Linked DNA regions of Caenorhabditis elegans. The protein of the gene in region 1 purifies or fractionates together with the protein of each later gene. This does not show direct contact. Each region holds a gene or a part of one and is shown on either strand. Other genes may lie near its edges.

What was found.
Region 2: the proteins of W03G11.4 (region 1) and F01F1.11 fractionate together in Caenorhabditis elegans (co-fractionation; one large-scale study listed by BioGRID). This does not show direct contact.

The regions. Positions count from the first base shown.
Region 1 is NC_003284.9:12,075,949-12,081,867, forward strand, and holds W03G11.4 (uncharacterized protein), read right to left. Parts: upstream 4,325-5,919; 5' UTR 4,275-4,324; coding exon 4,252-4,274; intron 4,072-4,251; exon of another isoform or gene 3,994-4,071; intron 3,594-3,993; coding exon 2,862-3,593; intron 2,737-2,861; exon of another isoform or gene 2,639-2,736; intron 2,569-2,638; coding exon 2,133-2,568; intron 1,919-2,132; coding exon 1,745-1,918; 3' UTR 533-1,744; downstream 1-532.
Region 2 is NC_003281.10:5,869,141-5,873,738, forward strand, and holds F01F1.11 (PAP-associated domain-containing protein), read right to left. Parts: upstream 2,738-4,598; 5' UTR 2,705-2,737; coding exon 2,686-2,704; intron 2,634-2,685; coding exon 2,451-2,633; intron 2,404-2,450; coding exon 2,168-2,403; intron 2,117-2,167; coding exon 1,952-2,116; intron 1,904-1,951; coding exon 1,696-1,903; intron 1,404-1,695; coding exon 1,220-1,403; intron 1,177-1,219; coding exon 1,006-1,176; intron 676-1,005; coding exon 624-675; 3' UTR 545-623; downstream 1-544. Other genes in the region: F01F1.15 (DUF3456 domain-containing protein), read right to left, coding at 1-15, 60-259, 307-388; F01F1.3 (MIF4G domain-containing protein), read left to right, coding at 3,915-3,984, 4,126-4,253, 4,302-4,429.

The sequences.
Region 1 (5,919 bases):
AAAACCAAACCAATATCGTTAAATTGTTTTGACTATATTTTTAGACACCCACGCAAAAGCAATTTTTAAATTCATACTACTGATTATCTACGTTTTCCGAATTATATGCGCTCAACGCAACCAATCGTGATTTACATTTGTTTTCGAGTATGAAAAATCGATTTTCGTTAGAATATTAGCCTTCACAGCAGATGTAACTTTTTTTAGAATGCATATGAAATTCAATCCACAACATGATAGCGTTACCAAAAACAACAATGATTTGGCAAATCACTTGGGAAAGTTCTTTCAATTTTCATGGAGATGAATAAATTATGAACTTTTTCTTTTACTTTCAGTTGAAATCTAATAACCTAACAAATGTTTTATGAGTCACTTCTGACAGAAATTACTGCTATCAACAAACTGACTAATTCAATTTTAGGTACTTGTCAAAACCGGTTTAACTAATATTGCAATACCCAGTATTTTGAAGTAGTTTTTGATTGATTTTATCATTTGGCAACAGTTTTTAAACTGATGGGAATATTAATTTTTTTAAATAAAAATTAACTACATTTATTCGAGCAGTTACAAAAACAAATACCAATGTTGATTACTTAAGGAAATCACAAAGTTGAAGAAACACAAAGCAAAAACTACGAGAGCACAAAGAGCAATTTTTTTGATTGGGGGAGGGAGGTATCAGTTTGACGGGAAGGTTGTGACGTGGCAGTGAATAAGAACTTTTGGATGGTCAAAATGGCATCTGAAAAATCAAAATAACAGGATAAAAACGTTTTTTTCTCCCAAAACCTACCCATAATGGCAACGTTGGCCTTGAGCAAGAGTTTTTATCCACTGCTATCATGTCGCATTTCAGATTTCGTCAAGAGATTCAAGGACTACATAAAAAAAGGTTAGGATGTTGATAGAGATGGAGATGCTGAGGTGAGAGTAGTAAGAAGAGCAGCACAGCTGACAGAAAATATAGTGGTTGTTTATGGAACTTGTGGTTGGGAAAAGAGGTGGCCAGTGATCCATGAAAAAACAACAAAAAAACAAGTCAATTGTTATTACTTTCCAAATGGGGATTAAAATATTTGGAATTGGTTGGGAGATTTGGAAACTGTGGTGACATGCCAACTCGTCCAACGGAACATATAATACTGGAAACGATAATGACTTAAATACTCACTGTAAAATTGAAAAGAGATGAGAAAATATTGAGTGTCTAACTAGATTCGTGATAGAGATTGAAGACAAGGAGATTTTCATTGGGTGAATTGGAGGAAAAGTGACATGACTAAAGTGCACTAGAAGGAATTTGACATAGTAAAGCCTTAACCAAAGACTGGAAAAACATGAAAATGAAATGAAGATTTCAAATATTGATATTCGAAGAGAATTGTTTGAAACATGACATCTCCGTAGGGAGTTAGTATGATTGGGAGAATTGCCATTTCAAATGACCTGGTTATTCAACGTTAAAAAAAGGAAAGTAATTTTTTTCTAGGGTTTTTTCTGGATTTTTTGTTCTGGTAATGTAAATGAAATGATGAAGGAAAAGAAAAAAGGTTATTGGGAGAGAAACGACTACCAGAGTTAAAGTTCGTGGGGACAAGAGCACGGGATTAGATGAAAAAAGCGCTTGCGCTAACTGAGAAGACCGTCTACTACATACTAAAAACTAGGAAGCCGGAGAAATGAATGTATAAATGATTGAAAAAGGGAAGCCTGGTACAAACAAAAAAAAAGAAAGTGATTAATTGACTGGGGGAATGATAACGCGGGCGTCGTAAAGAGCAAGAGTGCTGCGGTGCACGAATTCAAGCCCATTCTGACGTTCAGCTTCTTCTAGATCTTGACTGATGGTTCTGATGAGGGCACCCATTTCTTCGTGGTCGACGTTGTCGTCGTTTAGTTGACGTTCGAGTGTCTGAAAATTTTTTTAAAAAAATATTTTTAAGTTTTCAACATTTTATTAGTTTTGTAAATACAATGTAAATATAAACCGGACAAAATTGTTTCAAAACGGTTGAATTAAAAATTGCAATGAGCAAAATGGAAAAAATTCGCTTCGGACAATATATACTCAAAATAAAGACCGAAAAAAATTAACAAAAATTTCAGTAAGAGAATCTGAAACTTACCAATCGCTTGTTGTGCTCATTATCAACAGATTCGAAGTATGGAAAAGTGAAATCTTCATCATCAATACTACACGACATATAATCAGTGCGACGAAGAAAGATCTGCGGACGATGCATCAGATGCTGATAGTGCTTGTTACGTTGCAACATCTGCTCCGGTGTCTCACGATGGAATTTGCTTGGAAACGACGAAGCAACCATAATGTCTTCAATTTGGTCCGGCTCACAAAGCATCAACAAATTGATGAGCTCCTCTCTTGACAAAAAGCTAACAGTGTCGTAGTCATAATAGTAGACGGTTTGGTCCATCATCTCGACGGGCACAAGTCTTCCACACATTTGGCCACAGGTCAGTGTCATTGCCAAGTTTTCCATCATTGTAAGCATTCGTTCTTTTCCTTTTGAATGTATCCGTTCCTTGAAGACATCGTACATTCTGAACGCGTATGTGATTATATATTTCGAAATTTAAAAACAAAAAAGTTTGAAGTTGCTCCGGACAAAAAGCAGCCATCAGTCTATCCCGCACATGCGCATTGCTCAATAATCACTTGTTGTTAGAATATTGGAGCAACGGGATGGGCGAGACAGAAAGATGCTATATAAGGGGCATTTCATGCTCCAACCTAACAAGTTTCTAGACCACAATAAGAATGGGGAAACTTTTTCAGTCGCCTTGGCAAGAAAGATGAATTGTGTGAAGTTTTTTTCTGGTAGAACTGCACTTACCGCTCTGTTATCAGCATAACTTGCAGGTCACTGTTTACCCCAAAAAAAGGAAACAGTGGCTCGCGATTTGGCACTATGTCAATCGGTCGGCTGCGTGGAATTCGTACTCCCTGAATCGCGATGATTCCAATCACAGGATCGTATTCATTTGGAATATCTGGATTCATTCCCGACAACGGTGGCGGCATGGATTGAGTGTGTCGTGGTGCTTTTCGATGATTCAGTTCTTCAGCCTCAAATGCATCATCGTCTGTATCGTACTCACTGTCGATTGGAGAGAATCCAGGAAGATCTTCATCCGGCCGAATAACAAAATCTGGCGCAAACATATTGCGTTGTGGGATGTTGAGCTCTCGACTTCTCTTCTTCTTTGGAATCTGACCCTCTTCCATCTTCTTGTTCTCAAGCTCAACACTCTTCTCGACAACCATCTCTCCAAGGTTGTAACAGGAGACGACGACCACAAATGGCGAACCAGCGCCGTTCTCTTCAGTGTAGATCCCGTCTTCACGAGCCTCGCGGCCCATTACAGCTGTGTTTCTGGCCTCCTCCGAAGACGATAACCGGCCATGCCGACGAACAAGCTCGCGATCTCTGCTCAGCCTCTCATGTTCCGTCTGCTTTGATGATGAAGCTGAAGATGTAGACGTGACTGAGGTGTTTGTTGAATTGCGACTCCCTCGTCGTAACGTCACGTAGAAGCTTGTCTTCGCAAAACCCGTAATATTGGTTCTGGAAACAGAAAAATTGAAAAATCGTCTTCCCTCAAAAATTATAATTTAAAATCTAAGTTCTAAAAATATTTTTCCAAAATTTCATATTTTGTCGTAAGCGAAATTTAACTAATGGCAAAGCCTACCAACCAAAGAACCGAGGCGAAGGGAAAAAAGTAATTCAATATTTTGTTTATTTGAAATTTTTGAAATCGAGAACTATTTATTTGTCAGTGAGCTTTCCGTCTCTCACCCCCTTCTATTCCAATATGCGCCAAGTGCTCACAGTCTTTCAATGCCTCATTTTTCCAGCAAAAAGTATACAAATTTAATACACTTGAAACGCCAAATGCCTTCACTTCTCTTTGTTTCTCTTTGTTTCTCACACACTAGCATTGTTCTGGGATCCATTGGTTTGCAATGTTAGGGTGTGTGAAACGCAACGAAATGAGATGAAGAACTAAGTTTTACGAGCGGAGATTACATTTCTAATTGGAGCCATATGGGTTTTCGACTTGACTTTTCTGCGGGAAGGTGGAATAGAAACACATAAGTTAAATCTGTACAAAATTACAATTTTCACATGTATCCTTCAAATGGTAATTTAGCTATAAACGTAGCTCATTTGAACTTTCTAATATTCAAACTTTCTGTGCAGCAGTTAAATTGAAACTTACAAAATTCCCTTATAATCAAGCATAGTGTAATGTCCCGTATCAGTGAGTTTCACCAAGTTGAGGTAGACGGTTTCTGAAAAATAACTATGTGAAGCAAATCTTTGGTCTTAATATTAAGTTATTGAGCTTTTCATTCATTTAACCAGCGCCCCTATAGCATTTAACTATAAAGAGATATGTAGGAAATGAATAAAAAAAAGTTATGAGAAGAAGAAAAATATAACGAGGACGTAGAAAAAATGTAAGAAGAGAAAAGGAAGAGCGGGGAAAAATGGAGGGCTGTGGCAAAAAGAAGGGAAGAAAGGCCGTCTCTTTCAATGGCCAAGTGGGGTTGGAACACGCGAGAAGGCCCCCTTAGGCCATATTATTCCGAGGGCGTAGGCGGATTTTTTGGTTTGAAGTGTTCTTTGGTAATATTTCATTTTTACGGACTCTATTTAAACTAAAATTCCAAAAAAAAAACGAATCCTAGTTCTTGGAATCCCTTGGCTCAACAGAACCAAAATAGACGTGAATTGGCATTCTTTAGAGTAGTCATATATTTTCTTGCAAGAAAAACATGAAAACGAGAGGAATGAGACGTTTGCATGAAGGCGTCTTTCTGTCTGCTTTGCTTAGTAGGCCTATAGGCAGACATGCAGACACGACAAAAAAAGAAGCTAGCTAGATAACTATGCTGTCGAATTGTCTTGACAATGAGTGCGCCAATACACTCTAGAATTGCGGGCACCAGAGGATGGAGGGCGGGGTGAAAGAGAGAGGGAAGAAGAAAGTGAAATGGAAGAGAAAAAATGAGAAAGAGAGAGAGAGAGAGAGACAATTTCCCGTCATTATCATGACCTCCACGCAACCTGGGAGAGGCATTGGAGGCTTAATAGGAAATTGGTAGAATTTCGCCATCAATTTACTTCATTACCTTTCGGCGGTACAAGAAAACAAAAAAATCAATGTGAATCCATTTCATTGCAATTTTTTGAAAAAAATGTGTGGATGAAAAGTTTTAAAATGAAGTTTTGCCTCCAATTCTGATGCACCCAGTTTTCCTCTATAGTTAACCAGTGTAAAAACTTATCCAAATGTAGAGTTAGTAGAAAAGGTTACACTGCTTTTCGAATCAATTAAGAAATGAAAACGAAACAATGGAATTATTTTGAAAGTAACGGAACATATAAATATGAGGAACAACGCCTTTTACACTTCTAAACTAGAAAATTCCCAACTGCAGCCTTGACACCCAGCATAACTTGATTTCTGGCATAGAAATCGCCACACTCTCCGGAATAACCGAATTTTCCGCGTGGGCATCTAGTGGTTGAGTAATGCTAATCTACCATCTAAGAGATGAGACGAAGAGCTTGGGAAACGTAAACAATCACTACCTACAAAACTCCCCAGAGAGCTACTAGTGTCAAGAAGTGTCCGGCTGGCCGTTTTTCATGGTTCTTGTCGGCAGGCCAATCAAAACATGTTTAGGCTAGGCGCAAGATACGAGGAAATATTCTCCAGAGGACAAGCGAAAAGGATCCTTTTGAGATGCCATCATGATGATGTAGAACGGGAAAAAAATATTGACCAAAAAAGTTGAAAATTCAGAGAGTTGCAACTGCTCATCTCTTCTAGGTTTCAGCTTCATCTTATTACCAAAGAGCTGGCGGTAGGAAAGTTTTC
Region 2 (4,598 bases), on another chromosome or scaffold:
AGTAATTGTATTCACCTGAAGAGAAATTTGTAAAAATCTATACAATTTATGGTTCTTACCACAAGTTTATAGTGTTTCGCATCATCACAAGCGTGCTCAATGATTTCTGTCAAATGAGATTCTGAACGAGCATAGCCGATTTCCTTGAGCCCTTTTTGATCTCCAGTTGGTGAAACTCGGAAACTTCCAACTTCGATTTTCTTTTTCGGGTCGACTGCGGCGATTTTCAGCTCGAAATGGGTTACGAGGAGGGAGCAGGCTGAAATTTTCAATATTTAAAAATATATTTTAGAAAAATCTATCAACCTCCACACTCTAATGAAGAAACCGATGCAGATTGAATACCCGACAGTGATATGAGACAAACCAGTGTAGAAACAAAATGCATTCTGAATAAATGGTTAAAAAGCGTCGATAATGACCAAGTGAAGCGGAGAGAGAGAGAGAGCAAACAATGATTGGGAGAGTGGCAGAAAGAAAAGAAAAAGAACGGTGTTTGGATAGGTATCCAGTGTTTGTGTAAATGGTACTTTTCTTCACGAATAAAACATGAATATTATTCATTAAAGTTGATTGGAAACAACGTATTCAAGAGATCGAAAATTGATAAGTTAAACATTTTTTCAATTGGGAACCGGTCGACGTACACGTGGAATAATGTCGCAGAGCCGTTGTCTGGAAATTTAATTTTAATACTATTCAGATATGAACTCTGAAATCTCGTCTCAAAGATATGTTACCCGGCCTCGTCACGTACAATTTTTTCAAAAGTAGTACTGTAGTGAAAAACTAAAGAACGCTCCGCAACAGCGAGCAGCAATGAAATTTTATTTTTGGTATTTTTCGAAAAAAAGGGAGCGAAAATAGAGAAAAATTCTGTTATCCTGTCGGTAACTGAAAATATAATTGATTTTCAAATTTTACGCTTTTTCCAAAAAAAAATTACACTTATAACTGAATGCAAATTTTAAGGATTTTAAAATCGAAATTATTTTTTAAACTTACTCAAACTGCGTTCGCTTCTTCATATTCGCTTCGGAAGGCAGATCGTGTTCTCTTTTCAAAAATCCTTCATAATCTTTCCATGTAACACAAGAAGTTCCTTGTTCTCGACCACGCAACGGGCTCAACAGAATGCCCGTGTTCAGGCAAAACGGCATCTCTCGGAGCTCATTTCTGAAATTTAATTCAATGTATTTTCAAGGATTCAGGCACTTACAAGCAATCTGTAATTGCATCTCGAAAGAATCTCGTCAATGGATCCTTCAATCGACAAGCTTCTTCATATCGTTGAACACGCATTGATTCATCTTCTCCAAGTGAAATTGATAGTGGTGTCATTGGATCGAGCTGATCGTATGGGATGTTTGCATCGCTAATTCCTGTCAAATCGAGCAGAAACTCTGGAAAAAACAATAAAAATTGATTATTGGCAAGGGTATCATTGAAATTTTTTATGGATTTTTTTTCTGAGAAAATCAAAAAAAAAGTTTAGCAATTTTACAACAAAAAAATGTTTTGTTTAAATCAAATTAGGCTTATACTGTTATCAATCAATATTATTAAGGAAAAACATATAATTGCCATCTAAAAAGGAAAAAAGGTCAACATTTAAAACTATTTTTTGAAAAAACGAAAATTGTTTCCAAATATTGGAAAAAGCCCATGGATTCTCTTTTTTTATTTAAAACTTACGAGTAATAGTTGAAACAATGGCGGATGGTAAGTTAAGAATGGCTCTTCTTTGACTATTTCCAGCTCTTCTTAAAGTATATCTCCAGATCATGCATCTCGGACGGCACGCAACACAAAAATATGCTTTTATAAACTGCTTGGTTTTGTTGAGAAGTTTTGCGTTTCTGCGGAACGTCAGCAAACTGAACACATATTGAAGATCGGCATTCTAAAATTTGGCATTTTTTCATAGAAGCTGAAACAAAAAAAAACTCACAGAGAATACACCTGTTGCTCGAATATTGTAAGAAGTTTGTTGGCAATGCGAGAGATTCATTAGACTTAAATCGATTTTATCGAATTTTGACTCTGAATTTGTGTTGGTCGTCTGTCCTACAATTGTTCCTCTCAGGTCTTTAATGTTTGACTTTAGCGCATTTAGCTGAAAAATCAAAAAATGGAATTTTGAATTCCGGGCTATCAGAATTCTGACCATAATAGACGTTCCAAGCATTGCAAACCTTCCATCAGCCGCCGATGGATTCACCATACCTTCTACCAGCGATTCCATAGAAATATCTCCGAGAAATGTGGCTTCAGATATTCCGCAACGGATGGTTCTCTCCAATGAAGCTTCATTGAGCGTTTTATCCGATGTCGACACCATCACACGTGTTCCAAGCTCGATTATATCGATTTTCTCTGAGGCAATGTTTTGCTCAATTTTTTCTGAAACAATAATTGAACTTTTAATATTTTATTGATAATTTTTTTACCCATTCGATGGATTTTTTTCATTCTTTGAGTCGTCTTAAAATCTTTAATATCTTCTTTTGCATCATTATAAGAATCATATTTTTCTCCGCCCATATAGTCCTCTACATCGACTACGTCTTCCATTTCCATCATCTCATCTTCGTATGAGCCGTGTTCAGAGCTTTTGAAAGCAAACGGAATTACTATAAAGAACATTTTTTAATTTTTGAATAAAATTATTATTTTTAAACTTACTTCTATTTGAGTTATTCATATTTTTGTGGTAAATTTCTTGAAAAAAAATAATAAAAGGAAAATAGAGAATAGAGACAAACCGAGAGAGACCAGAGAAACGTTGTCCGAGAGGAGTGCACGGCCGAGAAAAGTCCAACACCTTTTTGCGCGCTAAATTTGAATTTAATTTGCCGCACAAAAATTTTCCTCCCTTTCCAGCCGCAAAATAGAATTTTCTTGAAGTTTCACATTTCCACACGAGAAAGCTAATAAAAATAATTATGTTTATAAACAATCAAGCAATTTTTGTCCTATGCAAGTATGCATGAACCGAAAACAGCGTTGGTGTTTTTATAAAACAACATATTTACAAACTCTAGGATAGAAAAATGAAAAGAATATGACATGATTCGCTAAAAAACAATTAATATCATTGAAAAACGCAAGGCAAATGAACAAAAAAGCAGACGTGAAAATTCTAAAAAGTCTACCATAAACTTTTGCGCGCCGAGACCCATCTGAAAAATACATATGTATATAATTCATGAAAATTCCAATATTTTAATTGTCTATTATATTGCTATGTTCATGTGTTTTGAGCCTCTTCTATGCTCTCCAGAGCTCTCTGTTCGCCACATGTGTTGTGTAATTCGAAACAGCCGTCACTTTTCCTCTGTTTTTCATTTTTTGAGTGTGTGATGCTGCTTGCTCTGCCTTCTGAACTTTGCCATCATGCATTTTCGAAAGAGATAAAAAATCTTGAAAGTTGAGCATGAAGCACCCAATTGTCTCTGGTGACACTTTTCACCTCATTTTCAAATCTCTTGCGTCATTCAGCTCGAGCCATTCGTCTTTCGATTTGACCCGGTTATTTTGTACAATTTTTAGTAGAAAAAATTAGTTTTTTGGGTCCTGACACGAGCTAAAAATTTTAGTATACAGTATCTGTAAGTATTCAACCAGTTCCCACAATTTTTTGAAAACTTGTTAGAAAAACTTAAATTACTGAGAAGTCTTATTATATATCAGGAAATATGAAAACTGTCAAATAGGAAACAACTTTCTGTAAGAAGAATGAAATTCTACAGTACTCGCGGGTACTGTAGCTGAAATATTTCGCTTGCTCTAGAACCCTGATCGTCAATTAAAAAAAATTGGCTAACTCGGCAATATTTGAGAATTATTAAGTTAATCGGAAATTTCAGAAATTGAAAATTTTCAGACATTTTTTTTAAATCAATAATCACGAAATGAACGATGATAAACTACGGAGCCTATTTGCATCTCTTGCAACTCTCACACAACAAGGACCAATTCCAGGTGAGCTATTTAAGAAAATTCGAAATCGTTCTTTGTATGTAGAATCAGGCAAATGTGCCTGCTCACGCCTTGATCCCGTTATTTAGTGAAAAGTGATGTGGATCGTCGCGGGACCCACAATTTTAAAAATTCGAGTTTCAGTGCAAGCCTACAGTATGCTTGCTGGTCAACATTCTACAGAAGTTCTCGCCGAACACATGAGGCTCCGATGGCTTTCGGATGGACGCTTTGGACCAGTTGCTGCAAATATACTAATGCACATCCATAAGGTAGTTCTGTACTACGGTAACCTCAAAAACCACAAATTAAAATTCCAGTCCGATCCAAAAGACATTTCATTATCCTCAAATGTGTTGGCTCTACTACTCAACGACTACCGTAACCGGCTTTCAGTTCGAAACGATTCTCGACTTATGTTCAGGAATTGTGTGAAGACACTTTTTTCGTAAGCAATTTCCAATTTTTTTTTTCGAAAGAAACTATCGTTTTATTCCAATTTTCGAATGTTTCTTGTAGTCAGACACGCAATTTTGATATCATATGATATATCATGTTGAGGTATTGTTGAATGAGAAAGGGTGTGTGCCTTTAAAGAGTACTTTAGTTTCAAAAAC